Pelodiscus sinensis: one gene and its partners. The protein of the gene in region 3 purifies or fractionates together with the protein of the main gene of each other region. This does not show direct contact. Links are inferred from orthologs where the notes say so. Each region holds a gene or a part of one and is shown on either strand. Other genes may lie near its edges.

What was found.
Region 1: the proteins of CBX3 (region 3) and ADNP2 purify together in Homo sapiens (affinity purification with mass spectrometry; 3 studies listed by BioGRID and IntAct, with this or other methods). This does not show direct contact. The link is inferred for Pelodiscus sinensis from reciprocal best matches to the Homo sapiens genes CBX3 and ADNP2.
Region 2: the proteins of CBX3 (region 3) and L3MBTL2 purify together in Homo sapiens (affinity purification with mass spectrometry; 5 studies listed by BioGRID and IntAct, with this or other methods). This does not show direct contact. The link is inferred for Pelodiscus sinensis from reciprocal best matches to the Homo sapiens genes CBX3 and L3MBTL2.
Region 4: the proteins of CBX3 (region 3) and CCDC71L purify together in Homo sapiens (affinity purification with mass spectrometry; 3 studies listed by BioGRID and IntAct, with this or other methods). This does not show direct contact. The link is inferred for Pelodiscus sinensis from reciprocal best matches to the Homo sapiens genes CBX3 and CCDC71L.

Annotation. Positions count from the first base shown.
Region 1 is NC_134712.1:100,918,291-100,925,456, forward strand, and holds the start of ADNP2 (activity-dependent neuroprotector homeobox protein 2), read left to right. Parts: upstream 1-4,153; 5' UTR 4,154-4,722; intron 4,723-6,846; 5' UTR 6,847-6,954; intron 6,955-7,166. UniProt on the Homo sapiens protein: May be involved in transcriptional regulation. May play a role in neuronal function; perhaps involved in protection of brain tissues from oxidative stress. May be involved in erythroid differentiation.
Region 2 is NC_134711.1:89,383,003-89,390,347, reverse strand, and holds the start of L3MBTL2 (lethal(3)malignant brain tumor-like protein 2), read left to right. Parts: upstream 1-4,322; 5' UTR 4,323-4,404; coding exon 4,405-4,512; intron 4,513-7,345. UniProt on the Homo sapiens protein: Putative Polycomb group (PcG) protein. PcG proteins maintain the transcriptionally repressive state of genes, probably via a modification of chromatin, rendering it heritably changed in its expressibility.
Region 3 is NC_134712.1:197,287,299-197,294,992, reverse strand, and holds the start of CBX3 (chromobox protein homolog 3), read left to right. Parts: upstream 1-4,671; coding exon 4,672-4,752; intron 4,753-4,811; exon of another isoform or gene 4,812-4,982; intron 4,983-6,345; exon of another isoform or gene 6,346-6,371; coding exon of another isoform or gene 6,372-6,395; intron 6,396-7,694. Other genes in the region: HNRNPA2B1 (heterogeneous nuclear ribonucleoproteins A2/B1), read right to left, coding at 2,819-2,893.
Region 4 is NC_134711.1:26,194,398-26,201,362, forward strand, and holds CCDC71L (coiled-coil domain-containing protein 71L), read right to left. Parts: upstream 2,257-6,965; 5' UTR 2,077-2,256; coding exon 1,369-2,076; 3' UTR 509-1,368; downstream 1-508.

The DNA of each region.
Region 1 (7,166 bases), about 96 Mb from region 3:
GTTCTAGAAACTTCAAAAAAGACATAAAACATTAACAAATGTATGACATAAATGTACAGGTATTGCTAAGAGTGAAAAAAAATTCTTTACTGTTTACTGTTTAATTAAATAATATACAGTGGGTCAGAACTTCCACTGGCTTAAATTGATACAGTTCTACTGAACAGAACTAAAATGATTTATATTAGCGAAAGAAGTGGCCAATTATTTTTTTAAGTATGTGCTAGTTCTCTGTGGGTTGTGTGGTACTTTAAGATGTGTGGTTAAAGCACCTTTGAGGCCTGGAACATTAAGGACTGGAATTGTTCTAAGCACTTGGCAGTTGGAAGCAGTTGTGGGTGGATCTGGGTTGGAGATTGAAACCAAGAATGACATGGGGATGGACAGAGCTTGTGGAGAAGACCCCTCTCACTGTGCTAACTTGACTCATTTTTGGTGTTAATTTATGTTTCTTGTGTCTGTGGCTGTTGCTCTGACTCAATTAAACTCAATGTAGATGATTTAAAAGGCATATTTGGTTGATTGGCTTTCGGGACCAGAAAATCCCAGTGGATTTCTTTGATGGGGTCCAATATGAAATAGCAAAGCGATCTGTGTAGCAGCAATTACAAAGAGCTCTCTGGTCTCAGCGGAAGAAAAAGAAATGTAAAAACAGCATGTATGGAAAAATGGACAGTTTCCATTTGGATGAAAAAAGATGAGGATTTTGAATGCTGACTGCAAAGGATACAGTTTTTTAAAAAAATAGATTTTCCTAAGCTTAGTTAGAAACTGAAAAGAGAAATCTGCAGTCCTGAAAGACTTATGTTACTTTTACTCCTGATCTGAGTGATCACAGAAATGATGAATACTTGACATTTTGGGAGTAAATCAGGCTTTCAAAATATACTTTCTGGCTGAGAGGACTGTTTCCAGAAAGAAGAAGAAAATATAACTGACATCCCAGCTAGTCTCAAAAACTGTCAGCAATGTGCTGTTTTGTTAAATCCACAAGAAGCACAAATCCAGATGTCAGCAACTGAGTATTGTTACAACCGCTGGCTATCATCCATAAGGAAGCACATGCTACCTGGGAATTCCTATAGAAGAGTGGAGCTTCGCTGTACTCCAACATGCTTCCTCCTTCCAACAAACCCTATGCCACAACTGGGAAGGTATGTGTAAGGATGGTTGTGCTAGCTTTACAGCCAACTGACAATTTCCCTTCTACCAAGATAATTCTTTACTGGACAACTTGTGGCCAAATTATGTTCCCTTTGTACTGCTCATGTAGTGCAAAAAGGACAGAATGGGACTGAGAATCTGGCCCATATTCAGCAGGAATAAAAGATGCCTGCAAATTGGTGTAAAATAAACCTTTGTTGTTACCATCAGTTATTATAAAAGTAGATGGTCCTTCATTAGTAAAGAAAAATAGTTCTTACTCAATTTCATTCAGATCAAAACAATAGTTCTCATCTATGAAAAATCCATAGTAGATAAAGTTGTAACCTTCCTATTCTATGTCTCATCTGCAACTTCTCCTCTTACTCCCTCCTATGCTGCTGTCCTAAAGAAAATTTACTTTTGAGAGGGGATAAGTGTGACATCACTAATGATCTGTGGGAAAATAACCTCATAAGTAAATCACTTCTCCCTTCTTCTTATCCTCTGCTTTTGCTCATAAGAACTGCCATATTGGATTAGACCAAAGGTCCATCTAGCCCAGTATCCTATCTGCTGACAGTGACCAATACCAGATGCCCCAGAGGGAGGGATCACAACAGGTAATCCTCATGTGATCCCTTCCCTGTCACTCACCTCCAGAGAAACAAAGGCTAAGGACAACATTCCTAACCATCCTGGCTAATAGCCATTTGATGGACCTAACCTCCATGAATCTATCTAGCTCTTTTTTGAACCCTGTTAAATTTCTTGCCTTCACCGCATCCTCTGGCAAGGAGTTCCACAGGTTGACTATGCGCTGAGTGAAGAAAAATTTCCTTTTATTTGTTTTAAACCTGCTGCCTATTAATTTCATTTGGTGACCCCTAGTTCTTATATTGTGGGAATAAGTAAATAACTTTTTCTTATTCACTTTTTCCATATCAGTCAGGATTTTATAGACCTCTATCATATCCCCCCTTAGTCTCCCCTTTTCTAAGCTATAAAGTCCAATTCTTTTTAATCTCTTCATATGGGACCCATTCCAAACCACTAATAATTTCTGTTGCCCTTTTCTGAACTTTTTCCAATGCCAATATATCTTTTTTGAGATGAGGCGACCACATCTGTACGCAGTATTCAAGATGTGATGTGGACGTACCATAGTTGTATATAGAGGCAATGAGATATTTTCTGTCTCATTCTCTAACCCTTTTTTAATGACTCCTAACATTCTATTTGCTTTTACTCTTCCTTGTTATTGTTTTTATTTAGTTTTGCACACTGCTCTTCTATATTTCAAGGACAAATTAATTTTAGAGCAGGGGCACAGAAAAAGGCACATAGACTTAGGCCACAATCCTTCAAAGTCTTAAGCATGAGCTCAAAATCAATTGGATTACTCAAAGTATATGAATTTAAGGACATGCTTACATCTTTATAGAATTCAAGTTTTAGTGCTGATTCTACAAGGTGCTATGCTAAGCTCTTCCTGAAAGATAATGAGTGCTAACTCCTACCATCTTAAATGGGACTTGAAGGTGCTTAGACACGGTATGATTCTTCACAAAAAGACAAACACACTACAATGATATAAAAGATGTACCTATTTTATAGATAATTTAAATTAGATTCTAGGTAAATAGTTCCATTTTTAATTCAATAATTATAAAATATTGTCTGAAGGTTAGACAAACTCAGTAGTTCAATTATAGTGCTCAAAGGTGAATTTAAAAGACATTAAGATAATGTCATAATTGTAATTTTTCTAATTCATTTTAAGAACACTATTATTTGAAAAAAGAACAGATGCTGTTTGTTTTATTATGCTTTGTTACAACAAAAAGGTATGAATATTAGTTTTGTGGGATTGATTGATTGATTGTTGTGCTTTTGGAAAATGTTGTGTTTCTAAGTAGCTACTATGTTTTACACTTTACTCTTATTAATTATTAGACTATTGTCAGTGATTTAATGGTAAGTATATAATATAAATCAATTAGGACATTTAATCTTTTCTGGTTTTGGCAATAACAACAGACTTTCTTATGTGGCATATGGTATAACTTTATCAATTAGAATATATTTTCCTTTTGCTGCTAGCTTGTCTCTTTGGCTAGGTCTACAATATAGGGGTTTTTTTTGGAAAAAGCTATGCAAATTGCACTCCGCAATTTGCATAGTTTTTTTCAATTGTTTTTCTGAAAGAGGCTTTTCCACCATATGGCCCAGTCTAGATGGGACCAAATGGCGGAAAAGCCTCCTCTTTCAGAGGAGCCCTTATCCCTCGTAGAACGAGGAAAACAGGGCTCCCTGAAAGAGTGAGTTTGCTCTTCTGAAAGAAAAAAGGTTCCTTGGATGTGGCGGAGTTTTTCCGCGATACCTCAAGTGTATATGTACCCTTTTATATGTTGAAATAAAACCTCTTTTTATTTCAACACTATTATGGAACACATACATAATAGATGATCACCCAAAATTGCTATGTGGTAGAAATTATTAGTCAAAAAATAAAGTGATAGTGTACTTATTGGAACATTGAATATGAAAATCATAAATGTCCTTTTCATATTTTTTATAAAAGTGTCTGATAACAATTTTGATGAATAACTGAATATTTTATTGGTATTTACTTTTTAACATGAATATATTGTCTACTTATGTTCGATTTTGACAAATTTTAAAAGATTTGTTCAACTGGATAAATATGTATATGGTTTGTTTATAGCTGCATTGAATGAAAGTCCAGCCCCACTGAAGTCAATGGTAGAACTCCAATTGACTTAAATGGGGCCATAATTTCTCCCATTTAGGTATAGTTAAGAAAAACCCTTATCATTTTAATTCATTGGTAAACCGGTTGAAGATGAAAGTGATACAGTTCAGAAAGTTTTTTATTTCTAATAGAATATCATAATTATAACTTCTTGTTTGTATATTTCTTGCCTTTGTTTGCCATTATCTGTTGTCTCCTCATGTATCAGAGCTCAATGTCCAGGTTCCATAAACAGAGGATGTCCTCTATATCAAGAGATGTTAGTCATCGTATACTGCCCCACTACTGTGGGTTGTGTACTCTTCCTCCACCAGTTATTGTTTGCAACTATGTTCCATGAGGAGGAAACCAAGCCAAGCCAAAGACTAGATGAAGCTGTCAAGATCTACAATCAAATGAAAAAGAAGACAAGTACAATGATAGACTCTTCAGTTTACTTAGTGTTTTACACAGTCTTTTCCACTGAAGCTTCCTCTCTATAAAGACATGGTTTTCAGCTGCTGGGAGAGCTGGTCACCAATAACAGTGGGCCAAAAGTACGTGAGCTACCATGGCAAAGGAGTGTCAAAAGATCAGCCATGCTGTCACACCTGGTCCACAAGAGTGGAACTCCTCACCCAAATATAAGCAGAACTTAAAGTGTTGGTACTGTGCATTGTTTCCTACCAGAGAATATGGCATATGTCAACCAGAGATGTAATCAGCTAGTGCCATCTGTCACAGCCCTCCAAGCAACTTTAACAGTAAAAACATCTCATTGAAGGTCTGGCAGAGCTGTGTGTGCTAGCACATCCAGACTGGAGGTTAGTGTATACTTCAGTTAGCCCCTAATAATAAAAATGGCTGAGTTTAGCTATGGACAAGCTGAGTGTGATGGCTGCACCTCTAGCCTCTGAGCAGTATTCATCTGGAGCAAATATGAGGGCCAAGATAGATGTATGAATGAAGAGTCTCTTCCCCTGGAGGTTCCTGATGTTTTCATATCAAGGCAGTACAGGTTGGATGTTACAGATGGAGCTGGTATATCAGGCTAGGTTGAGTTTTACTCCCAAATATGTGATAACTGGATAAAATAGCAAAATAGGTTGATTGGCAAAATAATTGTTTTGGTGGAAAGTAGTTGGCATTCTCTTGGTTTCACTGAGATTTAGGGCTCATCTTCACTACTGTGCTATATCAGTGATATAGAAATAAATGTAGTGGCATCCATTTAGCTCATGTGATGAAGATGCATTACATCGACAGAGGCATGCTTTCCCTGTTGATGTAATTAATGCACCTCAAGGAGAGGTTGAACTATGTTAGCAGGAGAGCATGTCCCACCAACGTAGTGTGGTGTAGATAACCACTGTAAGTCAATGTAAATTAGGTTGCTGAAGGTGTGGGTTTTTCATGATGTAATTTACATTGACTTAAGAGGTATTGTAGACAAGACTTTAGTCTTCATTGCTAGAAATCAGTAGTCAGAGTATCCAAGTATGTGGTAAGATTCCTTTCAAACCTCTGGAAGTCATTTCCAATGTTAGCAATATAGGTGATGACAGTTTAAATTCTATGTTTCAACTGTATTTAAAAAAATCTCTTGTGACAGCAGGAAATTATAATATTGTCTTCAAAGATAATTGTCTTCATGGGATAAGTGGGAAGGTCATTTCATGGATTGAGAACTGGTTAAAAGACAAGAAACAAAGGGAAGCGATAAATGATAAATTTTCAGAATGGAGAGGGGTAACTAGTGGTGTCCCCCAAGGGTCAGTCCTGGGACCAATTCTGTTCAACTTATTCATAAATGATCTGGAGAAAGGGGTAAGCAGTGAGGTGGTAAAGTTTACGGATGATACTAAACTGTTTAAGATAGTCAAGACAGAAGCAGACTGTGAAGAACTTCAAAAAGATCTCACCAAACTGAGTGATTGGTCAACAAAACGGCAAATGAAATTTAATGTGGATATGTGTAAAGTAATGCACATTGGAAAAAATAACCCCAACTATACATACAATATGATGGGGGCTAATTTGGCTACAACAAATTAGGAAAGAGATCTTGGAGTTATTGTGGATAGTTCTCTGAAAACTTCCACACAGTGTGCAGCGGTGGTCAAAAAGGCAAATAGGATGTTAGGAATTATTAAGAAAGGGATAGAAAGTAAGACACAGAATATCTTACTGCTCATAAAACTATGGTATGCCCACATCTTGAATACTGTGTACAGATGTGGTCGCCTCACCTCAAAAAAGATATTTTGGCCTTGGAAAGGGTTCAGAAAAGGGCAACTAAAATGATTAAGGGTTTGGAACGGGTCCCATATGAAGAGAGGCTAAAGTGACTGGAACTTTTCAGTTTAGAAAAGAGGAGACTGAGGGGGGGATATGATAAAGGTATATAAAATCATGAATGGTGTGGAGAGGGTGAATAAACAAAAGTTATATTATTAGTTCCCATAATAGAAGAACTAGAGGACACCAAATGAAATTAATGGGTAGCAGGTTTAAAACTAATAAAAGAAAGTTCTTCTTTACACAGCGCATAGTCAATCTGTGGAACTCCTTGCCAGAGGAGGCTGTGAAGGCTAAGACTATAACAGAGTTTTAAGAGAAGCTAGATAATTTCATGGAGGTTAGGTCCATAAAAGGCTATTAGCCAGGGGATAGAAATGGTGTCCCTGGCCTCTGTTTGGTGTCCCAGAGGCTAGAGATGGATGGCAGAAGACAAATCGCTTGATCATTGTCTTCGGTCCACCCCCTCTGGGGCACCTGGTGCTGGCCTCTGTCGGTAGACAGGCTGCTGGGCTAGGTGGACCTTTGGTCTGACCCAGTACGACCATTCTTATATAAGATTTATGTCTATATCTTATAAATGGATAGCTCTTGTGGGGGGAGGAGGGTAGATATTGAGTATCTATGAAGAAGGTATGTTTTTCTTATAGGTCACATATTCTTTAAAAAATCCAGCAAGCTTGATCTTAGACTTGTGGGAAGATCACAGCTGATTCAAGAGCATACATGGATATAAGCAGGATAAATCACCTACATGGGTAAGATTAAGTATACAACTATCAAAAAGTAAGGATGCTGAAAATCAGATTGCTGTCCTGTTGAACTACTCAATAAGAGATCCACTGTCTGTGTTGTCATAGACCTCTAATCACTATATTACTACATAGTTTGATATCTCCATTACATTGAATTCTACTCATATTTCTTAATGTCTTCCATTAGTTTAGAATAATCTTTAATTTGCTGCAGA
Region 2 (7,345 bases), on a different chromosome or scaffold from region 3:
GTTTGTTCTCAAATTGTTCTTCACGTATTTCATTCTTGAAAATGTTTGTTCACACAGGTATGTTGTTCCAAAGATTGAAAGGTACCTTGATGCAAAAGTTTTGACATTAGGAAAGTCTTCCTTGGGCAAAAACTGGTAAAAACCCACCAGTCCTATTTTGAACTTGTCCCTAAGGAGGTCATTTGCTTGCAACTCAATGACTTCCAGCTGCAGTTCATCTGGGCAACTGGCCACATCTGCTTCAAATGGGTTTTGAAACAATCTCACTTCTTCTGCCTTTGAATCCAAAAAGGTCTCCACGGGCCGGATGAGAGGGCCTCGCGGGCCGCATCCGGCCCCCGGGCCGTAGTTTGGAGACCCCTGCTCTAAGCAATCAGCTGAACAAGAAGTAGGACTGCATGGACTTGGAGGTACTAAAGTTTTATATTGTTTTGTTTTTGAGCACAGTTATGTAACAAAAAAAATCTACATTTGTAAGTTGCACTTTCATGATAAATAGATTGCACTATGGTACTATCATCAGATTAATTGAAAAATATTTTTAGAGTGCATATATTTTTACTGTAACTACTAAAGTGAGCACTGTATACTTCATAGTCTATGTTGTTATTGAAATGTATATATTTGACAATGTAGAGAAATATCAAAATATTTCATTTCAATTAATATTCTATTTTTCAATATGATTAAAACTGTGATTGTGAATGATTTTTTTATTACAATTTTTTGTGTTAATTGTGTGAGATAACTGCAATTAATCAGCAGCCCTAAAAATTAAGTTATATAAAATAGCCAAAGTATAGTAGCAAGTGCTTACTGATGATTTATAAACCTAAACAACTGATCTACTTAAATTTAGAGTAGGTAATCAATTTCAATAAATCAATAGCTGTGTTCATATGAATTTCCCCACAATAACTGACAGATTAAAATTAGGGCAGAAGCTCCAATGGATAAAATTATCTAATCCCCCCTCCCAAACAAGGTATGAGTGTGCCTTTTAGAGTGATGTATTTCTACCCAGCTCCTATAACTCCAGAATGGCTCAGCTGAACTTGCTTTACTTTTTTAATCCAGGTTTGAGCTCAACCATGAAACTTTTCAATTCCAAACTGGAAAAAAAACAGAATATAAAACTGGTGGGGTGGGGTGGGTTGGGGGGAGAGTTTGAATACAGTGGCCTTGTATCAGAAGGGTCCTGAGGGACATGTGGGGCTCAGGGCAGAAGTAACAAATATTTTATTTCCAGGACCAATCTTGTCACTTTCAAGATTGGTTCTGGAAATAATTGTGCCGGCTTGCAGAACCCCCCGCTCTCTCCCAAGAACATGGCCGGGTGCAGTCACCCCGATTCACCCCAGGGATGGCTCTGCTTTATATGATGACATTCATCTTGCTTGGTCAAAGAGGGAGGGGCACTTTTTTAAATATATTTAATGAAAAATGAGGAGTGGGATATTCCTGCTGCTTGTGAAACAAATTGGACATTATATTTAGCTGAAAAATGCTGAAATTTTATTTTAGTCAGTACACAAATATTCTTTCATTTTAGATCCGCTTCTAATTCCAGATCAATGGGTAGAACAAAATTATGGTTCTGGTTCGGTTCCTGTTAAAATACCAGCTTGAATTTGTTCTTCCGTAAAACACCCCGGACAAAATAGATTATCTGAGCAGTTCAGATGCAATGTTAAGATCCCTAAGTGCTCTGTGGCAGTTTTAAAATGAGCAGCAGAGGGACAGAGAATGATTCTAAGTATCTAAACCAAGAGTGGGCAATAATTTTTGATGGGGGGGCGGGCGGGAGAACACTCCAAGATTTTGGTAAGTGATCAAGGACTGCACTTTTCTATGGAGGGGGTCTGGGATGAAGGTTAGGTGTGGAAGGGAGCTTGGATTAGGGGGTTGGGGTGCAGGACAGGTTGTGGGGTCAGAAAGGGAGTTTGGGTGAAGGAGGAGATTGTGACCTGGGGCAGGGTTTTGGGGTGTAGGGTCTGGGAGGAGGTATGGTTATGCAGGAGAGAATTCTGGCCTGGGGCAGGAATGTAGGAGGAGGTGCAGGGTCTGGGAAAGAGTTGTGACCTGGGGAAAGAGGGGAGAGGGAGTGCAGAGAGTTTGGATGGTGACCTGGGGCAGAGAATTCGGATGTTGGAGGGGCTGGGGTACCAGAGGCAGGCTGTGGCCGGGAGGCTCTTACCTAGGCCACTCCCAGCCAGCAGTTCTGCAGGACCCTGAGGCAGACTCCTGGGAAGGGTTGGGGTGAGGGCTCTGGCTGGAGGTGCGGGCTCCAGGTCTGACCAAATATCAGGGTTTGAAATGCAGGAGAGAGCTGGGACAGGTGTGCAGGAGGGAATGGGGACTCCAGCTAGTGGTGGGGGTTCTGGGTTGGGGCCAGAAATGAGGGGTTCAATGTTCAGGCAGGGATAGAGGGTCAGGGTGCAAGATAGGGTGAGGAGCTGGAGGTGCATGCTCTGGGGTGGGGCTATGGTTTGGGGTGCAGGAAGGGGCTGGGGAGGGAGTTCTTGGCAGTGTTCTCAGGTGGTCCAGGGAAGCTGCTGGCATCTCTCTCCAGCTCCTGCACTGAGACAGAACCACATGGTTCTGCATACTGTCCAAACCTGCAGGCAACACCCTCTCAGCTCTCATTGGCCATGGTTACTAGCCAATGGGAGCTGCTGAGCTGGCGCTGGAGGCAGTGCGTGGAGCCCCCTGAGCTATCCCTCCACCTAAGACCCAGAGGAAGCTGCCCGGCAACTCCTGGGAGCACCATGGAACCAGCTACAGAGCCTGCCTGCTCTGCCAACCAGACTTTTAATGCCCACCCATCAGCAGTGCTGACAGGAGCCACCAGAGTGGGTGTTCCAGTCAAAAACTGGACTCCTGGCAACCCCACCACAACAGACAGAGCCAGTCTTAGGGGTGGGTGAGCTGGGTGTTACCCAGGGCTGCCATTTTCAGGAAGACCACATTTTGGCCTGACCTCCCGAATGCCCCTGGTTACTCCCCGACCTCCCCCCCCCTTTTTTTTTCCTCAACAAATTTTTGTCTGGTATATTTTTTAAACCATCTGGCAACCCTATGGGCAAGCTGGGTGGTCGCCCAGGGCTGCCAATTGGTTAGGACCAGGACCGTGACAACAGACTGTACTCAAGCATATCACTAATATAAACTGCATTCCCCAAAGGAAAGTGCCTCAGAGCCCCATTGCAGAGAGGTTATGGAAGGAACCACAGCAAACCTCTCCCCTGCTGCTAAGAGAGCCATTAAGGCAGCAGTGCAAATACATTACAACATTGCTTTAGTTTAGATGGTCTAGGCCAGTGAGAAGAGTGATGGAAATGTAGCCGTGTTAGTCTGGTGTAGCTGAAACAAAAAACAGGACTATGTAGCACTTTAGAGACTAACAAGATGGTTTATTAGGTGATGAGCTAATAAGTGGGTCTGGCCCATGAAAGCTCATCACCTAATAAACCATCTTGTTAGTCTTTAAAGCGCAGCATAGTCCTGTTTTTTGTTTAGGCCAGTGAAGGCCAACTTTGCCTTGTGAGGGGCAGCATGACTGGCCCTCTTTTGTCTCAGGGGGCTACAGGATAGTTGTAACCAAGCCAGTCTCCCGGGACTGGGTCGTTTCACTAACTGCACTTGCACACGCAGCATTTGCAGGGCACCGATCGAACCGAAGCAGCAGGTTGATTGGCTGCAGAAGGAGCCGGGGGCTCTCAGTGTTGTGTGCACTCAGCATGCACCTCATTGCACGTGCCCCTCACTAGTAACACCCACAGGGGGGAACCAGCAGAATCCCAACTCCAGGGTGCAACGGCAAACAAAATGGCTCACGGGCCACACGCCCGCCCCGCTGGGCCACAGGCTGCTCCAGGCTGCGTAACGGGCCGAGGGGAAACCCGGCAAAGTAACACGCGGGGCGGGGCGGGGCGGGGCGGGCCCCCCTGCAGTGGCCGGGCCTGTGCCGGGAGAGCAGAGCCTGCCCGGGCGGAGCCATTTCCCGGCACCGATGCGCCCCGGGGCCCGGCGTCTCGCTGCTCCGACCGCCTCAAGGCGCGGAGGGCGGGGCGCGTGCCGCCACCCCGCCTGCGCGCGCACTGCCAGAGCTCCGCCCCCCCCCTCACGTGCACGGGGCTGTCGGGAGAATGACGCAGCCGGAAGGAGAGACCGTGCCCGGGCGGGGCAGTAACCTCTCCGGCCTCCCCGTGGCTTCCTTCCGCCAAGCTACCGGGCTTAGCGAACTACAACTCCCAGAACGCCCTGCGGCGGGAAGGCGCTCTCCCCCCCCCCCGTTTACTGTGTCTAAGCAACCTGTCGGGGGATTGGCCAGCAGGGACGGGCCAATAGGCTTTTCCGGTGCATGGGGGACAGTGAAGCTAACGCGCTCGTGGCTAGCGTGTGATGCCCGGCCGTGGGGCGGGGCCTGGTCGGGGAAGGCAGCACGTGTCCGGCGCAGCTGCTCTTAGCCGGGCGCGGGGAGCCATGGAGCTGGAGCCGGAGCCGGGCGAGGTGAGCGGCGGGGCAGAGAGATGCTGCGTCCCCGGGCCCTGCGCGCGCCCCGGCGCCCCCCTCTCGCCCCGCGGGACTCCGGGGGCCCAGCGCTGCAGCCCGGCGGCCCCTGTGAGACGCCCCCATCCAGCGCCTTGCCCAGGGATCCGCGTCGGCTTCCCGCTGCCCTGGCGCCAGGCTGTGGGCGGGGAAGCCCGCTCCGCCCAGGGGCTGGGCACGGAAGGATCCTTCGCAGCCGCTTTCCTGAATTCAGTTTGTAAAAGGGTCTGGGTCGCGGTGCGGCAATGGGCCCGGCTGGGGGTAGACCAGGCTCCTGGAGCGGTGGGACTGCACTCAGTGGCGCCTTCGCTGTCGGCTTTTTGGTTCTTCTACCCCATGGCCGTAGGTGTGAACGGTGCTCCTGACACTGCCTCTGGGGAAGAGTTCAGACTCGGTGGGAGCAGCCTGAAGCCCTGTGTTCCTTAATACAGTGTTTCTCAAACTGTGCTCAGCGGCTCCGTGAGGGTGACAAACTAGAAACATTGATAGGTACAAATCATATAATCAGGGGTCCGCTGGGGCGCTGCATACATTTTTACGCATGTAAAGTGCTCCAGAGCCCAAAAAGTTTGAGAACTGCTGCCTTAATACAGTAAAATTCCGATAATCTGGCACCTTTAGGACCCAGGGGGTGCTGGATTATCAGATTTGCCAGACTATCGGAAGGGGGGGCTATGAGGGGTCTGGGGTGGGGTGGGATGCCACCTCAGACCCCTCATAACCCCCCCTTCCGATAGTCCGGCTCTGCCCCAGGCGACCCCGATTCAGCCGCTGCTGGTCAGTTTCAGCAGCGGCTGAATCGGGGATGCCTGCAGCAGAGCAGCTGGACCTGTGGCGCGGCAAGACCAACCCGGCAGCACCCCAGCTGCTCTTGGGGATGCTTGGGGCAGAGCAGCTGGGGTGCTGCCGGGTTGGTCCCGCAGCCCTGCTCCTCGGCGCTACTGGACCAACCCGGCAGCACCCCAGCTGCTCTACCCCAGGTGTCCCCAAGTCAGCTGCTGCTGAAATTGATCAGCGGCTGACTCCAGGAAGCCGGAGGCAGAGTTACTCTGCCCCGGGCTTCCTGGAGTCAGCCACTGGTCAGTTTCAACAGCGGCTGAATCCAGATGCCTGGGACAGAGCAGCTGGGGCGCTGCTGGGTTGGTCTGGTAGCGCCAACCCGTGGCACTACCAGACCAACCCTGCAGCACCCCAGCTGCTCTGTCCCAGGTGTACCCAAGACAGCCGCTGCTGAAACTGATCAGCGGCTGACTCCAGGAAGCCGGAGGCAGAGTTACTCTGCCCCGGGCTTCCTGGAATCAGCCCCTGATCAGTTTCAGCAGCGGCTGAATCGGGGACAGCTGGGGTGCTGCCGGGTTGAGTCCTGCAGCTCTGAGGGGCAGCACTACGGGACCTAACCGGCAGCACTCCAGCTGCTCTGCCCCAGGCTTCTCCGATTCAGCCGCTGGTCAGTTTTAGCAGCAGCTGAATTGGGGAAGCTGGGGGCAGAGCAGCTCCAATGGTCCGGGTGCCTGGAGCACTTCCGGGTTCCTGATGGTGCCGGACCATCAGATGCCGGACCATCGGAGTTTTACTGTAGATCATTTTTACTCCAAGGCAGAATCTGTTTCTCTGTGTCCCAGCATGTATGTGATTGTTCTTATTTTGGGGAGGGAAGAATAGGGAAAGCAATGTAAAGTACAATGTTTGGAGGCTGAAGTTTTGCTCAGACCCTAAAACAGGGCTACTCCACTTTGGAAGCCTTGAGGGCCACAATGATACTCACAGCACATGTCGAGGGCTGCAACTTAAGTGTGGTTGCATATACATGCAAATATATGCAAATAGCTTCTTTCACACTGACTGGCACAAATACCAAGATTAAGCCTTAAGCTGCGGCACCGGACCCAAATGTGGCCAGTGTAAACCAGTCAGCACCTCTCAGGCTCTGCCCACAAGGCTAAGCAACCAGCACTTCCCACAATGCCCCGGTGCTCCCGGCACCTCCTCCTGACACCCTGTTCTCGTCTGTTCTAGCCAGCCCGTCTGCTTGCATCTTTCAGTGCTCATCCTGCCTGGGAGATGCCTTGCCATTGTGGAGCATGTTCCCAGTGGAGGCCATGTTCAAAGGATCCCACCCATGGGCCATGTGTTGAGCTCCACATAAACCCAAACCACACTATGGGCTGTAAACAAACGGACTGCAGCCCGTTTGTTGAATAGCTGTGCCCTAAAAGCGTATGCCACTAACTTACCACCTGAGAGCAGAAAAGGGCCAGTGACCATAAAAACAAGTGGTCCTGTGGCACCTTAGAGAATATATAGAATCATGAGCTTTTGGGGGCAAAACTTCATCAGATGAATTGGAGTGGAAATAACAGAAACCTATATAGATAAAAACACATCAGAAGTACCACCTGTCAGTTGTAGGACCTATGTTACTGAGGCTAATTAAATGGACTGGATGTCTCCCATACGTAGCTTTTGATGTGGAAATGCAGATGTTAATGACAGAAGAAATTGGCTTTGTAATGCACCAGCTAGTTAATGTCTTTGTTTAGAGTAAGGTAACAGGTGCCAAATGTATAGATGAATTCCAGTTTTGCAGACTTTCTCTGTAATTGGTTAGTGAAATTCCTTTGTAGAAGAATGGCTACTTTTAAATCCTTGATTGAGAGACATGACGGGTTTTATGTATGTTACCATTTCTGATTTCCAATTTGTGTCCATTTATCCTTTGTCGTAGAGACTGTCCAGTTTGGCCAATATACATTGCAGAGGGGCATTGCTGGTACTTGATGGCATATATCGCATT
Region 3 (7,694 bases):
CACTGACTAATAGAAGCCTCCTGATCTTGCCTGAAGCAAGATTTCAATGGTGCACCCTTAGAGCTAAAAGAAGCTATTTAAGAAAATACCAAACCTGGTTTTGATATAGCTGCATATCCTGCTACCTCTCTCAGGCTCTGCAGCCACTAGACTGTCGATGCAAACCTATATACCTTTTTTACTGTTCAATTTCATATTTCTAATTACTGCACAGCTGTAAGACAATCTGCAAAGCCTGATTAAAGCAGCAACCACACAGTCTTATCAAAAATTGAATGATTAAGTACTAACCCATAAATAAGTTCCAAAAATCCACTCGGATTTAAAAACTAAACAAAAAACACCCACACACTAATGTTACAGCCAACTGAAAGATATGGGAAGAACGAGCCCCATTTTAATGGGGTTAACTGTCCTTGCTTAGTCTTTCTGGAGCATGCAACCAAAGCTTGAGGAGCTTTAGCCCAGGACTTAAGGCAACAGGCCTCTTCAGTCTCCTGCTGAAGCCCCTGGGCTTTGTCTCCTCCCCCACCCGGCCCAACCCAGGGTTTAGTCTGACTCAGACTTCAAGCCCCATACTGGCATCAAACTAACAATTGTTCTTGCACAGAGGGGGGGTTGTGGTGCCATAAAATTTGAGAACCCCTGCTCAATGGGAATATTTGGACCACTATATTAATGCTACAAGATATTTGCATAAATATTTTTCACAAATTACTCCAAACTTAGCTGGAGTGGGGCAAAGCTGAGACAGGGTTTGGGGAAATGGACTGCTAATGAAAACTTGGATCAAGGCACTACTATCATTTGGTATAAGCTACATATATTCATAACACATCTTCAGAAAGTATTATAAGCCAAGTTAACAAGAGCTACTAGAATAAGCAGTGTTGCTGTAAATCATGTTAGAGTAAAGTTGGTCCAATACAAACAAAAACAGTACCTCACCCACACCGTTTACCTATTAGAATATATGACATGAAACTTCTGCGGATCTGAAGGACACTTGCAAGACACTGTAGTTACCAAGGAAACAAAAATATATACAAAACTGTCATTTTTCACCACACAACCAGTGAGACTAGGAAGGAAAAAGAGGTAACTCAGTAGGGGGAACTAGGGTGTCTACACCTTACATTGGTTACGCTAAGAAAGTTTGAGAACATTTTGTGCACAGAACTTCTTGGGGGGCCGGGGAGTAGTAAGCATGACAAGCTTAATTTCAGCACTGAAGCTTTCATGCTGCAGCCACAAGAGCTACAGAACTATTCTGAAGTTTGACATTGGAGTCTCATATTTAAATTACCACATGGTGCATCAAAAATAGCATGTACTTGAGTAAATCAGTATTGTACATGATCCCATGCTATGCCCTGCCTTGGGTGGAACATGGACTCCATTTTCAGACTTCCAGCTCCCCCCTATTATTTACAGTCTTGCTGAGATGTTTAAAACTATCTACACTGTGATTTTAACATGTGTTACCTAGAACATATCTATACTGGGGAGGAGAGGAGATATTACTTTGCTACTGAGATTTGAATGAGAACAGTCTCTTTCCTTAAAAGTACTGTTACAACCTTGGCTAGCATCCTACCAAATAGGAAACTACAATATGGCCAGGCCTACACTATATTGTCTGCAGCAGCATAACGATGTATGAAAGGGGGAAAAAAACATATACCTAACAACTAAGTGGCAAAATCCTCATATAGATGGAACTTTTGCTGATAGAAGAGTGTTTCTAACTTACACAATGTCATGGGGCAGGGCAGGAGAACTTTACACTAGCCTAATGTTTGTAGTGAAAACAAGGCCTAAATGTTACCTGTGGCAACTTAAGCATGTCCAGCTACCTTCCATTTATAATCTCGGTGAGAACGTCTATTTTTGTACAAAGTTATAATAAAAAATACGGTATAAACGAGCTTTGAAGCTTTCAAGAATGTACTTCTCCCACAGCATGAGCGAATCTGCAAGGATGGGGATATGTTGAGCCTCTATTGAGAAGGCAAGAGTCCAGCCACAAGGAATGTGTTTTACAGAACAATACCTACAGAAATAGACAAAGAATGGCCATAACCTGCTGCAAACTGCAGCTTAAGACCTTAACAAAAATGGCGGGAAGAGGTAAAAGAGCAGGAGCTTCAGATCAGCATCCGAGTACTGCGTGCCCGCCAAAAAGTTCATGCGCGTGTGTGTGGGGCGGGGGGGGGGGAGGAGGTTTAAATTCCCCGCTCCCCGCGACTGTTACCCGTACGGGTCTGTTCAAGAGGAGCGGTAGCGGTGCCTCCGCAAGTCCACCTCAGCACCCTCCCAACGGGGCAAGGGCCTGCAATCTCCAGGGTCAGAGCAGCAGCTGCGCGGAGCCCGCCATGTGGCAATGCCGGGAGACAGAGGCACCCGCCACTGGAGAGAGAAGGAAAATGGCGCCTAAAAGCAACAACCCTAGGGAGAGCGATGCCGCCGAGAAAAATTCTGCCTGGCGCTACTGCAAGAACAGGGGTCGGCTTCGCTCGCAAGATCGTAAAAAAACTAGATGCCTAAAGCCCCCCCTCAGCTACCCCGCCGGCTCCCAGCCAAGCTGGACAGGGAACCCCGGTGCCCCCACCCCTACATCACCTCCTGCTCCGTACAGGCTGCCCGCAAGGTAACAGTTACTCCGCTCCGCACACCCTTCCCTCATACCCGCCACCCCTTACTCTTCCGTGGCGGCGCTTCCCTGCAGCAGGGCTCTCCGGGCCTTTCCCGGCAAGCCGGGGTCTATTCCCCGCCATCCCGCCGCCATTTTACCCCTCCCCCTCATTACCGCCATTACCATCTGCGCCTCCCCGGACTGATCCCGGCGCTTCCCAGGCCCGGACATAGACCCGCTTCGCTTACTGCCCTCCATTGTCACCCCCAGAGCGCACGCGGCTCGCTAGAGCGACAGGAGCTCGGTTAAACCGTCTGTGAGGCGGATCTAGGGCTCGCCTCCGCGTGCGCTGTTGCCGCAGCGTGTGCCTCCGCCTCCCTCTGCTGCGCACCAGCCCAACTGCCGCCGGCGCTTCCAGAACCTTCCTCCCCTCTAACGTCTCTACTACGGAAAAGCACCAAGACTCGCCCACTGCGCCACCAAGCGTATTAGCGAACGGGAAGTTCGAACGCCTCCCGCTGCGCTAACAGCGTAACAGTTTTAAGAATATGCCTGCCATGACGCAAGAGTACTAACTCTTGCGAGCCGAAACGCACCTTGCGCAACTGTACACCCGAGACGTGCGCTATTTGCGTACCACCCACCTCATGGCCGGCGTAACCCTTTTTGAGAATACGACCCAACCTTTTTAGTAATGGCTGCCTTGTTACGTATTTTTAAATGCATCGTCAGGCAATGGTCCGTCCGCCCCTCCCTTTCCTCTAACTGTCGCCGGCTGCTTGGACCGCAAGTGGAATTAAATGCTCCCCGGAAGCGCCCGCAGTTCTGCGGAACGCTCCTTTGTGCTTTAGTAACGTAGTAAAAAAGCTCAACAGCTCCGCTAGCAATGGCTGTCTCCGAGAAGAACCGACGCAGGCGTCGTCGTGGACCAACTCCACTTCGGCAAGACCCGGAAAAGCCCGAACTAGCGCGATCCACTTCGGCAGTTTCCGGAAAGAGCCGAAACAGGCTTCCTCGACTACGAAGGTCTCTTCGGTAGTTTCCGACAAAGAAGCGGGAAAGCCTCTCGCGTCCGAATAGAGCCGAAGCTCCCGCTTCGGGTTTTTCCGGAAATTGCCGGAGCCGCCCGGAGACCGATCCCAACAGCAGCAAAAGGACTATAATTAGCCAAAGGGGCCCCCTTTCTCCACCTGTGGTGCTGGCAGAGCGTGGGCAAGGGCCACGGGGCCAAACCCGGAGCGCGAGGAGTGCGCGGCCCTGAGACCCCCTTTGTTGGCGGGGCGGCCCCTTTGCCTCCGGACGCCTGGGAGGAAGTGGCCCGATTTGGCGCCAGCAGCGAGACGCCGCCTGCCAGGCCCGCGAGCGAGGCGGACCCCGCCGTAGCCAGCTTCGCGCACAGCGGCCCCGCAGCCCAGGGTGAGTGGCGGCCCCAGTTCGCCGGGGAAATGGCGCTTCGGCAGCTCCCCTCCCCCCGCCGAGCTCAGTGGGGAAATGGCCGCGGTCTCCCACCACCCGTCTTCGAGGAAGTGGCCGCATGGTCGCTGGGCCCCGGCCCCCAAGCCCCTCTAATGCTCCCCCCCCCCCGGCCTCCGCTCGCTCCCCCGAAGTTCCCCTTCGTAGCCCACCAGCCCCTCAGCCGATGCGGGAGCTCTCCGCGGCCAGCTCGGCCTCTAGGCCCGTCCCGGGGCCGCGCCCAGGCAGGGCTGGCCGTTGGCCCGGCGGCTATGGCGCGCTCCGCTGGGCCCCGGCACTCACCCAGTCGCTCTCTCGGTCTCCGCGAGGCATCTTGCTTCGCCCAGGCGCTCGACGAGCTCGCGTCCCCGTGTTTCAAGCCGCTCTCTGGGAGAGAAGCCTTGGCTGGCCCCCCTCTCGCTCGCGCCTGCACTGGTAGCGACACGGCAGCAGCAGTGGCGGCGGCAGGAGGCTGCAGCTAACGTGTAGGCGGCGTTGTGCGCGGTGCCCCGCCGCCAGCCACCGCGCAGCTCAGCGCTCCCACCCCGCAGCAGCCGCCCCAGCCTCTGCCCCCACCCCCTCAGATGTCGCTGCTGCTCAGTGCGCGCAGGGAGCAAGGAGGAGACGGGAAACCCGAGTCGCCGCCACCGCCAGGCACCATTGAAGTCTGTATCCTTCTCTCTCTTCTCGTTTCCCATTTAATCTCGCCAGGAATTGGGTAGCGCCCAAAATTCCTTGCAGCTGGGCTCGTGTTGGGTGTAATTGCGGAGCTCCCCTCCCCCTCCCCTCGCTGCCCGCCTTTACCTGAAGGGTGGCTACTGAAGGCGGGTAGCGGCGGTGCGGGGGAAGAGGGAGCTGAGCTCCGGGATCTCTAGTGGGTGCTTTGCCCCCATAGGTAGGAGGAAGGCTCTGGGCCCTAACAGGGAGGGGAGCGCAGCGCTTAGACGCTGGGTGCAGCCTGGGGAGAGGCGGAGGGGGGTGCGTTCAGGGGACAAAGCGACGCCGCCAGCCCCGAGGGCGGTTTTTCCACTGTCCGCCCAGCTTATTCTTGGAGCGCAATGGTCGTGTTCGGTGAGGGGGCAACGTGGCGCCGGGAAGGGGCCCTCGTCCTTTTTTGAGAGCGGGTGTGTGAAATGGTGGAGTGTAGGTTTAGGCAACACGCATGACTCGCCGGCTGTTCCCTCCGCCGACTAGAGGCAGGGGCGCAGGGTTTCCTCCTCTGCGTTGGCGTGCAGGTTGGCCCTACTCCTTGCTCAGCTAGTCCCGTTAGGTCACCCGGGCCTCGTATGCGCCCATCACAGGCCTGTGGCGCAGCCATACCCTTCATTCCTGTGCTATGGGCCTTTGTTTCCCTCCTCTTCTCCCCCTCCCCCCTCCAATCGCAATGAATCCTAGATGAAGTGCCCAGCAGCAGGGCCCAAGCCTCTGCCTGTCCTTCGCTGGACTTCTTGGCTACAGTACCACCTCTCGGGCTGCAAGGGGGTGAGAATTGGGCAGGATCGCTGAGTCAAAGCCCTCCTCTGACTTCCATATAGGCTTTTTTTTGCCTTGATCATTTTGTGATTTGCAGGGATGGGTGACTAAATGTATGCCCAAAGAGGTGGTTAGTGTAAGCAACTGCATGGGAAAGAGGATGAGTTTTCTTCAGACCATGTGGTTTTTATGTAATTTATATAGGTTAATTCAATGTATATTTCTTAATTAAGCATTTTAGTCTTCGCATACAGTGTACACAGTTTTGCAGTTTGTATCTGTATTAGCCTTAACTCTTGCCTTCTGATCCATACATTTGCAACATTATAGTTTTAATATTCTGCAGTTTATATTTCCTGCTGTGTCAGGATTACTGGTAACTCACTAGTGAATTATGCTACAGATACTTTGTTGCTAACTAAAATTTCACTTTTGCATCTTGAAAATGCTGTTAAATATCTTAGTTAATTGCTTGAAACTGAACACTTTTCCTTCTTGGGTTTAAGGAAATGGTTCTCCCCACCTCTCTCTGAAACATCTCTGCCTTATGCTGGTAGGACTTTCTTGCAACCTATCATACACAATCAATAGCTAGGATCATGACTAGCATTATGGTGTGTTTGTGCATTCTGCTGGACAAAGCAGTAATCTTTTCTGGATTTAATCCACACTTGACATGTTATGTGCAGTGAACACATGGGGGTTGGAACAAGGACCATGCTTGTATGGGGATGCCTTTTTCTGAGTAACTTAAATTTCCTTTTAATTGTCATGCATTTTTCTAGTAAAGCTCTGCAAGTCTGCAATAAAAATGGCCTCCAATAAAACTACATTGGTAAGTTCATGAGCACCTAAAATATATAAGGATTTTTCTTCAAAATTATAACTTGGCATCTCCATGTAGAAGATACATCCACATCTCTCCTCCCCAGCATTATTCTGACTAAAATCTCAGATCCAGAAACTAAGGCTAATAGAAAGGACATTAACTTTGGCTTAAATAAAACTGCTGTTTTCCAGTGAAAGACTTACAAACAAAACAAAATCCCTTCTCTTTTTAATGGAGGCCTGTGCTCCAGTTCAGCTCTCTGACTTTCAGTGAAAATTACGTTTAATAACCTTTTACAGAAAACACTTGTGATTTTTTAGCCTCCTTTCAGCACCCCATGTAATTCATTGTATATTTAAAAGGGGGGGGGGAAGCATATTCGTTTTAACTTCTCCCTAGCTCCTCAGCTACAACTACGAGTGCAATTACCTAATACTAATATGATGGGGCATAGTGTGGATTGTGGTTAGAGCTGTTAGTAAATAACGATTCAATTGGATTTCATAGGAGCAGAGATTGTTTCCCCTATCTGGACCATTGTAACAGGACTTTGACATGTATCAAGTTCCTATGAAAATTCTTGATGTTAAATTGAGCCCAAAAAACTCTGAAGTTGAAGACACATAAATGCCACAGTAGTTGGCTTAGTATTCATTTAGCTGTGGCAGTACATGTTTGTAAAGGACAACAGTGTGGAAGTCTGTGCTCTATTTACCTAGTAGAAAAATAATAGGCAAATAGTACTTACTGACTAGTATAGCTAGTTTATCCCACATCCACACAAATACTAGTATCCTGTCTCCTGTCCGTTAATTGCCTAGTTATTTTTCACTGGACTGCAACTATATAACCCAGGGCTACTCAACTTTAGAAGACCCTGGGAGCCACAATGATACTCACAGAACATGCCAAGGGCTGCAATAAGTGTGGTTGCATATACATACAAATATATATGCAAATAGTTTCTTTCACACTGACAGGCATGAATACAAAGATTAAGCAAGACTACACAACACACAGGCCCCGTTTAAGTCAGTTCTGCTGACATTAATAAAAAGCAATATTTGCTGTCATATGCGTGGAAATCGGGTACTTTTAATGATCAACGACAGTCCAGGAATTTAACTACTAAAACTCATTTCAATAGAAGACCGTTATATTGACTACTTTTTTGTTTTGGCTCCCACCCATGGGCCGCAAACAAACAGGCCGCCTGTTGAGTAGTCCTGGTTTAAGCAATAACATTGCAAACAAGTTATCAAGCTAAAAAAACTTTTACTGGAATTTAGTATCAGACTCAAAGTG
Region 4 (6,965 bases), on a different chromosome or scaffold from region 3:
AGTTTGCCTTGAAAGTGGGCATTTGTACAACACAAGACAGCCAACACACAAAGCTTCAGTCAAAACAAGCTATAAACTAACAATCTCTGAGTCCAGTGCATACCATATTTTAGCTGCAGCAGATTTAAAACAATACTCAAAGGAATTAATATGAACATCCACCACTAGACACTGAAGTGACAGCCTGTGCTATTTTAACTAAGAAGGCACTAGCTACCACACTATTGTTACTTCTATTAACAAGGCACTTACATAAATCTAAAATTCTGATATTTGATCACTTTAACTAATTACTAGCTAGCATTATATTGCTTGCCTTCTAGTAATCAGTTTTTTTCCTAAACACATAATTTCAAATAAATATTCCTCAGCTTAGGTAACTTTGGGGTTTACTAGAGAAGTAAATATGCCAAACAATTTGCTTGTTTCATTGAATTCCAGATGGTGTATTTAACTATCCAACAAGCTATCCATCCCTTTGCGGTTAGTTTCAATGTACTGAAACAGCATTAGTTGCTCTTTCACTTTTATTAAATTCACTTACATTGACCAAATAAGTGTCATTGAAGTAGACAGTTATATAAAATAAGAGTGATTCAACTGGCTTCTGATGCTCCATAAAAATGAATACTTAATTCAGCTATAAAACTTTAGAAATGATTTTAGATACAAAAAAATATGCTACACAGTACACCCTTTTATAGATCACCAAGGAAACTTTTGCACCATTGAGACAGCCATTAGTTCTGAACCTTTTTGTTTTTTTGCATCCTTGGTCAAAGCTTCAGTCAGTTGAAATTGGGAACACTTGGGATTCAAGATACCCTGAGCACATACTAGTGCAACATCACAAAAACATACATAATCCAATGTATTAGGGAGGAAAAAAGGAAACAAGAGTCAGATGGTGCTTTATTATACAAGCATGATAGCAAGTTCCTTTGGAAAATAACTTCTTGGGTGGACTTCCAGACCAGTGAGGTAGTCCCATGGGAGAAAGTGGAAGGAAGGAAATAGACCTTGGTCCCTACTTGAGATGCCTGCCAAACAGTTCTCAGACTGAAATATAACGGGTAAGGATCCTGGCCCTACTAAGAAACACAAACAGAAGAGCCTCAGTCCAGGTGAGGGTGGTAGCCACACTGGTGTTGGGGGCCAACCAGGTTCTCAGTCCAGGATGGAGTGGGCAGGGACATGGCTCTCTGGAGGAAAAGGGTCCCATCAGTCTGAGCCATAAAGTGCAGTAGAAGGACAAGATCCAGACAAAAGCAATGTAAACAGGTGACTGACAATTGTTTCTGCTTGCTCCTCCCAAGAGGAAAACGAGCCTCCCCTCCAGATACCCCAGTTTCCAGGCGGGGCAGCGTCTCACGATCTGGCTACGGGGAAGCGGCGCATCCTCACTACGGGCGCCAGGTCCACTCGGAGGATCCGCTGCGCCTCGCGCCGCGCCGCCTCCAAGCTCCGCGGCTTCCAGACGCTGCCCCGCACCTTGATGGTGGGGAAGGTGGTGAGACTGGGGGTGGCCGCTTTCCAGATCTCCTCCAGGGACTGGCCCCCCAGGGGAGCCCACGCGGGCACCTCGGCCGGGCCGGCCTGCTCCTCCTCCTCCTCCTCCTCCCGGGGCCGCTGCGCTTCGCTGCCCTGGGGACCGGCGGGCACGGGCAGGGCTGGGGCGCGTTTCCTCCCCTTCCTGGCGCGGCCGGGCGCTCTGCGCTTGGCGGGCAGGGGGCGCCGCCGGGCCGCTCCGCGGCGGGGCCGTTTTGCCGGCGCCGGGGGCAGCTCGGGCACCACGGCCCGGCAGGAGGCGTAGCCGTACACGTCCTTGCTGCGCAGGATGACCGGGGAGAACTGGTGCTTGAGGCTGCACAGGAAGTTCCACAGCTCCGAGTCCGAGCTCATGAACTCGGTGGAGCGGGGCATGAAGAGCTTGAAGGCGTCGCCCAGCGCCTTGGTGCCGGCGAAGGACACCTGCGAGCGGGAGTAGACAACTTTCTCCGCCTCGCCCTCCGCGCCCCACGCCGCAGCCGCGCCGAGCCCGGCAGCGGCTCCCCGGCCGGCTCCCTCCTGCTTCATCTTCCCGAGTCTCGCCGCAGCGCCGCCTGCCTCCGACTGCGGAGCGCAGAGCGAGGGCTGGCCTCAGCGCGAGCCCCACCACGCCGCTCGCTCGCCTGTCTCCTGCCGCCGCGACCGCCGGCCCCTGCCGCCTGGCGCTCCTTTGCCTGTCTCTCCTCCCAGGGCGGAGAGCGGCGATCAATATCCTGCCGCCCCGCCCCGCAGGCGCAAACGGCCGCTTAGCCGTTACTGAGCGTGCGCGGGCTCAATAGCTGCTGTTGAAGCCGCTCAGTGCCCTTACTCTGCCCTTACGTGTGGGGGAGGGGAGAGTTAGAGAGCGCGGCGGCGAGGGTGGGGGAGAGCAGAGGGGAGTAAACTGAGTCCCCGGGCAGAGCAAACAGCTGGAGGCAGGGAACGGCGAGGGCGGGAGCCTGCCTCTGGGAGAGGCGCTGCAAGGCTGTGGCAGGGAGAGGGGGAGTAAGGGGATAAGTGCGACCACAGAAGGGGTGAGCAGCTGTTTGGAGAGATGGGGGGCAGGTCTCTGCACCCCCCTTACAGTGCTGTGGCCCTCCAGACACATGCAGGGAGGCCACCCATCCAGCTCTGTCTTTTTGGCTGGTTTGTCACCTATCCTGTATTGGGACAAGACAACGTCCAGTTCTGCCTGGTATCGGACAGGGCAGACTACACTGCTCTGTTCCCGCCATCACAGCCTCATGTGCTGCCTGCCAGGGCACGGCAGCGCAGCACGCTTCTGCAGACTTTGCCCCTCATGCAGCATGATTTTGCACTCACCATCCATGTGAGATCAGCCAGCGAGGGCAGGGCAGCTCGCTCTTGAAAATGGTGTCCCCCTGTGTGGTATGACCTCACACACAATGCATGCGAGATCATGCCAGTGAGGATGGAGCAACTCGCTTTGAAAATGGTGTCCCCAGTGCAGTATGATTTTGTCATGCTGGCAAGGGTGGAGTCACAGGTAGATCAGGCTCATGCTGTTTCAGGAAGTGCTAAAATGTCCTTTATTCCACTAACATAGAATCATAGGGTTGGAAAAGACCTCAGGAGCTTATCGAGTCCAACCCCCTGGTAAAAGCAGGACCAATCTCAACTAAATTATCCCGGCCAGAGTTTTGTGAAGCTGGGACTCAAAATCCTCTAAAGATGGAGATTCCAGTGCTTCACCACCCTCCTAGTGAAATAGTGTTTCTAAATTGAGACCATTGCTCCTTGTTTTGTCATTTGTCACACCTAAGAACAGCCTCTTTCATCCTCTTTGGAACCCCCCTTCAGGTAGTTAAAGGCTACTATCAAATCCCTCCTTACTCTTCTCTTCAGTAGACTAAATAAGCCCAATTCCCTCAGCCTCTCTTCATACGTCATGTGTTCCAGCCCCCTAATAATTTTCATTGCCCTCCACTGGGCCCTCTTTAATGCATCCACATTCTTTCTGTAGTGGAGGGCCCAGAACTGGACGCTGTACTCCAGATGTGACCTAACCAGTGCCGAATAAAGGGGAATAATCACTTCTCTAGATCTGTTGGCAATGGTTGTATGGGTTGAACTTCTGGGGTCTAGGACTCTCTGGTTCAGCAACATCCATGGTCTGAAAGGACCACAGATGTTGCGGGACTGGAGAGCCCCAGCAGCAGAGGTTGCTGGCAGTTCAGAGTGGAGCCATCTGGCAGGGGCAGCAGAGCCAGCGGGGAGCAGAGCCTGCAGCCGGCGGGGCAGGGAAGCCAACAAGGGAGCAGGAGGTCATGTGGCAGTGCAGCCCACAGCTAGCAGGGGCACCAGGAGCTTGTGTGGGACAGCGAGACTGCCATGATGTCAGCAGGGCTGCTGAGAGTTCTAGTAAGGCTGCCAGAATTCCAGTGGGACTGCCTCAGTTTGACAGGCCAGGAGCTCAGGCAGGGTTGCTGCATCTTGCAGGGCCAGGAAGCTGGGGAGAGGAGTCCTGGTGGAAAACTCCCTTGTCTGGGACGGGCGAGGTTCCAAGAATGCCAGAACAGGGAAAACAAACCTGTACTAATGCACCCCAACATGCCGTTAGCCTTCCTGGCTACAAGGTTAGTGGCCACTTTATACACCAGGGCTATGTCTACACTGGCGCAATCTTGTGCCAGAAGTATGCAAATGAGGCTAAGCATGGAATATCGCTGAGCCTCATTTGCATATCTAATGAGCCACCATTTTTGCGGAAGAGGTTCTTGCGCCAGAAGGAGCTGTCTACACTGCCCCTTCTTGCGCAAGAAAAACCCTCTTGCACAATGCCATTATGCTGATTATTTTCAGGAATAACGGCATTCCAAGGTGGAAATGTTGGGTTAAAATTAGAGGATTAGAATCAACTAGAGGAGTGGAGACCAATGAGCAAACTGGCCCAGTAACACAGAGATATAAAACAACACAGGAAGGAGATGTAGGAGAGAGAGACAAACTGGCAGGGCCAGAACCAGGAAAGATCTCTGGGTAGAGATCTCTTCTCTTGCCTCTCCTTTGCACAGCACTTAGAAGAAAATGAAACTGTAAAAAATATGGTGCATGGATCAGTAGAGTAGCAGGAAGAGAAAATGTAAATAAAACTGCACTGTGGTGTTTAACAACTAACAGTCTCTGAGTCTGTGTAGACAGAGTGGAAGACGGTAGCAAGATGTTCCCTACCACAGACCTGTTATATTGCCGTTATTCCTGAAAATAATCAGCATAATGGCATTGCGCAAGAGGGTTTTTCTTGCGCAAGAAGGGGCAGTGTAGACAGCTCCTTCTGGCGCAAGAGCCTCTTCCGCAAAAATGGCGGCTCATTAGATATGCAAATGAGGCTCGGCAATATTCCACGCTTAGCCTCATTTGCATACTTCTGGCGCAACAATTTGCCAGTGTAGACATATCATTTAGCTAGGCATTGGGACACCTGGGCTGTCTTGAGCTGCCAAAGGAGACCTGATTCAGTTAACTATTTTACTTGCATAATTCCTAAATAATTGTAATTTTCATATTTTTAGTGTTTAAAAGAATCCTTTATGTAAGTCTGCATAAAGCCTCATGCAGTAATTTACAGATTTATCTTATGTGCTATTGTGATTGCCCTTACTTGTAATCTCCTATAATATAGTTTCATTTCTTTTAATTATTTACTTTTTAAAATTGTATTTTTATTATTCTTAATACTTCATCATTTATCTTGTTATCATTGTGCACATGAGTGTCATTGTGCTCTTGATATTTTTCATGACAAATTATCATTGGAAATAACAGTTGCTTGCTGCGTCAGTGATCACATTTCGCAATGTTTGCAATATAACAGGTCTGTGGTGGGGAACATCTTGCTACCGTCTTCCGCTCTGTCTACACAGACTCAGAGACTGTTAGTTGTTAAACACCACAGTGCAGTTTTATTTACATTTTCTCTTCCTGCTACTCTACTGATCCATGCACCATATTTTTTACAGTTTCATTTTCTTCTAAGTGCTGTGCAAAGGAGAGGCAAGAGAAGAGATCTCTACCCAGAGATCTTTCCTGGTTCTGGCCCTGCCAGTTTGTCTCCCTCTCCTACATCTCCTTCCCGTGTTGTTTTATATCTCTGTGTTACTGGGCCAGTTTGCTCATTGGTCTCCACTCCTCTAGTTGATTCTAATCCTCTAATTTTAACCCAACATTTCCACCTTGGGAGAATTAAAGGCTCAAATGTTGGTTCCCAGCACCCACTTTCGAGGACTTCAATAAGTGTTGGCTCTGTCACAACTTCATATGTTTTCATTGTGATTTTGTAATGTGTAGCTTGCATCATGCAATCTTCTGGATTTCCACTTGGAAATTGATGTAGAAAGAGCAAAGGGACAGCCTCCTGGTTCACAGCAATTCTTCCCAGCCCAATTTTGTGTTATAGAGTCTGAGGGAGAAGTCTTGCCAAGTAATCATCAAGAACAAAAAACCACACACCACCCTGATTATCACAGCAGCCCTTCTATCCCACTTCACCCTCTGAGCCAAAGCCCTAAAAAGTAGTTGTACACCCCCTTTGCAACTCCCATCTCCCAAAGTATTTCCTTTGCTAAAAGCATCACAATACCACTTGTCTTCAGCTCACTCCAAAATATAACACAAAAATTTCCAAACCACAAGTCAAATGTTCATGTGTCCCTCACTTTTCAGATTGCATTTAGAATCCCCTCTACAGGGTTTTCAAGATACAGAAAAATACACTTTCTTGTGTGTATTTAAAGAGAAGGATTTACATAGGAACTTCAAGGAGGAAAGGATCCCCAGAGAAAGAACAAAAGACTCAAAAGTAGAACCCAGATGAAAAGAACAAAGAAGAAGTGGTACAAATAGATATAATACTAGATTAAAATCATGCTCACGTATTTATGTAATATCAATTGAAATCCCTTCCTCCTATGGGCTTTTTGATTACCAAGAAAAATGTATTGCAATGCTGTGAATCAATTATTCAGTTCACTGATGTGTTTAAGATATTGATGTATTCATAATATTTACATAATTAATTTTGTATTCTAGGATAGCAGATTGGTTAAGAAGGCCTAAAACAAAGACTAGGTCCTCTAGTTTGTTGAGATTTATGTGACCCACCAGCTTAATATGGTTCACAGCATCATTTCCAACTGTGTGGTACTCATAATGCTTTCCAGCATTATAATACCATTTTCTCAGATATCCATTTCTTTCTCAGTCTGTGACTTTCCATGACTTAGACACTGGGCCTAATAAAATACATTGGATATATATTGAAGAGTCACTGGAATGAAAACAAGTAGACCTTTTTGTGGCGAGTGTCTCTGAGAATCTTTAATCTATGTGGGGACCATTTACAATCTGGATTTTGTTTAAAAAAATATGAAGTTCAAATGTCTCTCTGAAATACACAGGAAAAAATCTTCTTAGGGAAA